Caenorhabditis elegans: one gene and its partner. The protein of the gene in region 1 purifies or fractionates together with the protein of each later gene. This does not show direct contact. Each region holds a gene or a part of one and is shown on either strand. Other genes may lie near its edges.

Region 1 (3,738 bases):
TGTGATTTAATTTTTAAAACAAGCAATAATCTCTCAAGCAACTTTTTGCTAACAACTACGTTTAATAAATATATATTACACAAGATACACAAGATATTTAGTGGGTATATAACATAAAACGGGTCAGGTGGTTTCCTTAGTGGCGCGGTGAAACATTGCCCCTGCATTTCATTGGATGATAAGTGGGACAGCGTTGCTGCGGCGAGTGTATTTATGAAACAGAAAAATGGGAGGAGAACATTGAAAATTAATGGAAACGGAGTTAGTGACAATATATCACAAGCGAGTTATTTGAAAGGTGTTTGAAAATTTCATATGTTCAAATTTTAGTTGACGCTGACTATTTTACAAGATTCTATCTGACTAGGGCTGTGCAATCGGACGTCCGGCGTCCGGATGCGTGTGCGTCCGGCGTCCGGAAAAACTGGACGCGTGTGTGTCCGGCGTCCGGTTTTTCGGACGTCCGAAAATTTGTTTTTTTGTTTTTTGTTTACAACCTCACTCATTCTCACTGAGATGTAAACAAAAAACAAAAAAAACCGGACGCACCCGCGTCCGAAAACCGGACGGTGGGTGCGTCCGGCGTCCGGCTTTTCGGACGTCCGAAAAAAACGGACGTCCGGTTGCACAGCCCTATATCTGACAACATTGCTTGGAGTGTTGGACCTTCTAACTGCACTATAATAATACATAAAGCACATCAAAAGGAGTTGCCTGCGGCTGGAATCGAACCAGCGTCGCCACGGCCACAACGTGGAGTACTAACCACTATACTACGCAGGCCGAGAGATCTCGAGAAATCAGGTCTTTATCAGCAAATATTTTATTTTTTCCAAGTAGTGATAACTTTATCATTACTGCCGATTCATTTAAAAAATTAATGATGATTTCTCTTGAGAGTATCCAATTTCGAAAAAGTTTTTGTGGACGATGAAGCATCATCAAATGAATTCGGTGATGAAAATAGCCATAACAAGTGAAGTGAACGTCGAAATGTGGATGAGATACGATCCAATGTTGATATCCGGCAACTTCTGAAGACATGGCAACTTAATAACAATTTAGATTCCTACGGAAATTCCGGTACCGTATATTTTGATGTTAGAATAACAGTGACTGGATATTTTAAAAACTTCTGAACAATTTAAAATGTTTTATTATGATTTTTATTCATTTCATTGAACTTTCGGCCACTGATTTTTTTGCTGGAAGTTTATTTGTGCACTGACCATAAAAATTGTTCTTCAATAGAATAACGTTGTCGGGTCTCTTTTATTTTAATTCATTCTGCTTTTGCCATTTTTGTTTCTCCCACCGGTTGTCCATCTTGATAAATGTATAAAGAATACAAATATGTATAAACGTTTTAATTTTTCAAAAATTGCTTTTCATAATTTAAAAAAAAGTCACCCTTTGAAAATATTCAATAAACTAATTCAAGCCTCCAACTAAAATTCCGCATAAACTGTACACATGATTATTTACACTTTCTCCTGCAATACTTCATGTATATGATAGGACGAATAGTTTTGAATGAAGTGCAATTCTTCTCAATCATATTCAACCTCTGGTATTCACTCGTTCTGTATTGTAAAAAATCCACTCAGTTTCTCTCAACTGCCTTCTCCCAAACACTTGAAAATTAAAAAAAAGAACCGTTAAATTCACTTGTAGACTTTTCATTCTGCTTTTTGTACAGTTCTCAAAAAGTACATATCTAAAGGTCAATTTGCAAGCCGTAAAAACTGTGTTGTTTCAAAAGTTAATTGCCAATGAACAACGCAACTTGTGGTTGTTTGTGAAAAATCGCATTGAAACTTCGTTTGATTATCTTTCTCTTTTTATTTTTGAACGAATTTTATCATTCGAATCTCGTGCTGTTCTTGAAATAGGCAAAGAAGATAGATACGACCGTGTCAGAAGACATCTCCACCTTTTTTTGTCTGTATAAAAGGTATTTTCACAATATCAGTTACAGATAGATTTTTATTTTGTACTAACGAAACTAACGAAAATTTGGTCAACTTCCTACTCCGAAAATGGAAATGTTTCAAGAATATCTCACTGCACCATCTGTAAGTTTAACAAAACATATAATCTAAAGGTTGACTACGGCCACTGGCAAATGATTAAAACTTGTTGCTATGGTGCCAAATTAACCATAATTAAATATCCGAATAAAACTTTTAAAAAAATTTGGAAACTTTTTGATTTAGAGTCAAGTAGTGATGAAAACTGACTTTGCATCATTTTTTAAGAAATCTAGAGCACTATCGCATGTTCGAACCCAGGCAATGTAGGCATTTGGATATTTTAAGAACAGTTAAAACAAAAAAATTGAAGAAACAATTAATTAAAGTTATTTTTATTAAGACTTGATATAATCTTGAAACAACTCAAAAAACATCTCATAACTGTTTTCCATCCAATTTAGCATGTTTTACCTACAAAAAAACTAGAAAAAAAATGCAACATTAGACATTATGTACATCCTAAAAACTACGCAGTTTTTACTTTAACACAAATTAATATTCACAATCATTTGCTTTGAAATACTTAAATTACATGAATGTTTAGAAAAATAGCAATGTTTTTTTTTAGTTCCAAACTTGTTTAGAAATTACTTTTATGAGAGAGATAACTGTTTCCTTAAAGATAAGTGCAGAAACTAATCTTTGGGTTTATTACGTATATGAAAGTCTGTAAACTTCTTCAATAAATGACAAATTCACTTGTGTTTAGGTCGAAGGAAAGGTACAACAACTGATCGCATTCCTAGTTCAACAGCCTGCCGATCAAATCGACAATAGCTTTGACTTTAAAGCACATGACCAGGATCGTGCCGAATATTTTGATACAATGATTGCAGAGGCCTTGACTTCATTTTTCGAAGTGCCAACCGAACCGTCAGATATTGAACCGTTGAGCACTGTCCAGGATGTGGTCAATCGTGTGAACAGTGGAAATGCTTAAGCAAATTTGCTGATGATTGAAATAAATGCATTTTCCACAATGAAGTGTTTTTAAGACAGTTTTTTGAATTCAAAAATTTATGTAGGTACAAAAATCGAAATTTCAAAACTATAACTCTGTTCGAGTTGTGCTATGATTTACGGCAAAAACGAATGGAATGTTCTCCCAGACTACTGACGCATGCGGTGATGACACATGTTCTTGCAAACATGTCTGTAGAGTTGTTTTTAAGGGCAGATTAAAATAAATATAATGCAAATAAGTCACCTTTGCCGTTTTCATTGTTTTAGATTGTTCCATCTTTTAGAATGGGATACATCTGTCAGTTAAGAAATTGCTCAAAAGTGCAAGTGCAAAGAGTTGCATTTTGAGCAAAAATCTGTGTTATGTTACACCAAACTATATCCATAAAACAGAAATAAAAGTTTAGTAGATAAAAAACACATTCAGATAAAAAGTTAGTTCTTTAGAGATAAGGTTTAAGGCTAGTTTCTGAGTTCACTACGTCTGCAAAAATGCCAAAGAAAAATTATTATATTCTAAATGTGATATAAAATGTTTTTTGAACCTTTGAAAAATTGTTAACGAATAAGATAACATTTTATTTAGAGGTATTCGAATTTGTAATTTTAGAAGTTTCTACCTGCAAGGAAATGTGGAAACAGTTCTATGTTTTGTAAAATAAAGTAGTTCTGATTCAAATATACATACATTCTAGAAAGTACATTTTTATTATTTTTTGAAATTATTTCTGTTCGTTTTCCG
Region 2 (2,914 bases), on another chromosome or scaffold:
AAAAATCTAAATACTGTTCTTAAAAAAAGCCGGTATGATTAGCGAAATCGTGTTCAGTTAGGAAAAAGCATCGATACTCTGTTTCCAAAATCAACCCTGTAGTGAACTCCATATTAGTAATGGAATATGGGGTTTGCTTCAACTTTCTTTTTTGGAAATTCGACAGTCTACCAAAACTTTGATTGAGCGTTTTTAAAAGCAGTTAACAATTTTTCGCTCGTTTCATAATGAAATTTTGTCATTTCAGCTGATCATAAATGCATTTTAACAGGGACTCCTACGGCAACGACTTCGAGTTATAATCGCGATCAGATAGAAAACTGTTTGAACGTTCTGCTACTGAAATTGACGTACGTTTTACTTGAAACTGATTCGTTATGCCAATTACTATTGAAAACAGTATTAATATATTTTTCAGGGCCGCGCGCACGCAGCCCCGATACGCAAAAATTAAGCTGTTGGCGAATCTCAACTCGAGACTGCCACACAGGTCAGCCCATCCAAAAGTGCAATGGATAGGCCTCACCATGGGGATCCCGCCTTCATGATCGCGAGATAACCCCCAGCCAGGTAAGTTTAAGAAGTGGCGGTAAGAGAGGGTAAGGGTGTTGTATAGCATGACATCTGGCGGGTTCCGCGGAGCAATGCAGAATGTGTTAGGATGGGAGGGGCTGTGCAATACCCAAAAATAGGCATTATGCAAGAAGTACATTGCCGGCATTTACATATTTATTACTAACTTTCAAAAAATATCACAAATTCATATTATTTTTAAATTTTATTGAAACAGAATACTGGAATTTATAGTAATTACATGCATAGTTCAAAAAAATCATAAAATTACAATAATTATTCAGAAGTTTTTTGTTCAACGGGCGCTTGCTGAATTGGAATAGATCTTCCTTGAATCGCTTCCTTCTTTGGTGCTTCAATTGAAAGTTTTCCATCTTCTGAAAGATTTGAAGCAACTGCACCAACATCAACATCTTCGGGTAGAAGAATAACACGAGAAAATGATTTCTTTGAATATCCATGTTCAGTCTTTAATTCTTGTTCTCCTTGAATTGATAATGTATGTCCATCCAAATTAATTTTCAAATCTTCTGGCTTGAACTGCGAGACATTGAGATTTATGGCAAACTTTTGATCATTGTTAACAATCTGAAAGAAATCTTTTTTATACAAACTCTTGAAAAAAAAACGTGTTACTTACCTCAGAAGATTCAGATGGAGAGCCTCTGCAAACTGGAGTAAATTGACGTTCCATCTGAGCCATATCTCTCATGAGATCACCAAAAACAGAACGTTGAGCTGGACGGAAATAGTGGTAAAGTGACATGATTGTAGTTTGAAGATTTCACAATTAGAGTGAATGTTGTTTGGTTCGGTTTTGTCACTGTATTTATACTCATTTCCACCTTTTTCTAGAACATTCGAGCTGCTTCTTGCAAAAGGAGGGCGACTCACATTCAGAACATTGAGAAATAGTGTGCGTACTGAAGAAACCCAGATACTTTTTCAATCTGCGTCTCTTTGCACCTATGGGGTGTATTTTGAAATGAATGCATCTAGGACCTTCTAGAACATTCTAAACGGCTGCAGGATACGGGTATATAAGCCAATCGTGTTCAGAGGAAACCAATACACTTTGTTCAAGTGCTTACTGTTCATTCTCTAAACTTCAAGAATGCTCATGCTCCGTTCTCCATTTTCTGATTCAAATGTTCTCGATCATTTCTTGGATGAAATCACTGGATCTGTTCAATTTCCATATTGGAGAAATGCTGATCACAACTCATTCAATTTTTCCGACAATATTGGAGAGGTAAGAAAATAATCTCTTTTTCAATTGTTTATTTGTCAAATGTTTTATTTTTCAGATTGTAAATGACGAATCTAAATTCTCTGTTCAACTCGATGTTTCTCATTTCAAACCAGAAGATCTTAAAATTGAATTGGATGGAAGAGAACTAAAAATTGAAGGAATTCAAGAAAAAAAATCAGAGCATGGATACTCGAAACGATCATTTTCAAAAATGATTCTTCTACCAGAAGATGTTGATTTAACTTCTGTCAAATCTGCAATTTCGAATGAAGGAAAACTTCAAATTGAGGCTCCAAAGAAGACTAACTCATCTCGTTCTATTCCCATTAATTTTGTTGCAAAACATTAATCTTTTATTGTATTCCAAATATTCTTAATTTCAATAAAGTCATTAATTTAATTTATTCATGTTCTCTAGCATAACAAAAACATCAAATCCGACTTTCCAATTCAAATATTTCAAAACAACATAACGGCTCAACTTTACAGCATACTCATGCTACGTTTTACCAACCGTTAAACGTTTAGCTATAAAAATTCCTGCATCGTTTCAAACGACTTTTGCAACTTTTTCAAAATTCAGTTTTTCAGCTTAATTTCGCTCACAACTGTGTTGATCAACTGCACCTTTATAACAGCTTTTGACAGTTTTTAAGTGTTTTTATCAAGTCGCAGGAGTTTTCTGAGAAGCCGAGTAGCTGGTAGCTTAAAATATTTTCTGATTTTTCTCTTGAAGAACCTATTTTATGAGGGCCCTGTAGAAGTTGCACGCACTGTAATTTTTTTAAAACATTTTTTATGTTTTTTGTTTTAAGCATAAATTCAAGCTAAAACATTTATTGAGACTAATAAATTTTTTGCATAAAAAGTTTCTGGAATAACTTCAATTATGTTGTTTTGAAATATTTGAATTGGAAAGTCGGATTTGATGTTTTTGTTATGCTAGAGAACATGAATAAATTAAATTAATGACTTTATTGAAATTAAGAATATTTGGAATACAATAAAAGATTAATGTTTTGCAACAAAATTAATGGGAATAGAACGAGATGAGTTAGTCTTCTTTGGAGCCTCAATTTGAAGTTTTCC

The links.
Region 2: the proteins of spig-15 (region 1) and hsp-16.49 fractionate together in Caenorhabditis elegans (co-fractionation; one large-scale study listed by BioGRID). This does not show direct contact.

Annotation. Positions count from the first base shown.
Region 1 is NC_003284.9:11,992,810-11,996,547, forward strand, and holds spig-15 (Acyl carrier protein), read left to right. Parts: upstream 1-1,974; 5' UTR 1,975-2,039; coding exon 2,040-2,075; intron 2,076-2,742; coding exon 2,743-2,973; 3' UTR 2,974-3,030; downstream 3,031-3,738.
Region 2 is NC_003283.11:9,088,540-9,091,453, reverse strand, and holds hsp-16.49 (Heat shock protein Hsp-16.48/Hsp-16.49), read left to right. Parts: upstream 1-1,687; coding exon 1,688-1,825; intron 1,826-1,880; coding exon 1,881-2,174; downstream 2,175-2,914. Other genes in the region: hsp-16.11 (Heat shock protein Hsp-16.1/Hsp-16.11), read right to left, coding at 850-1,161, 1,214-1,339; hsp-16.48 (Heat shock protein Hsp-16.48/Hsp-16.49), read right to left, coding at 2,837-2,914.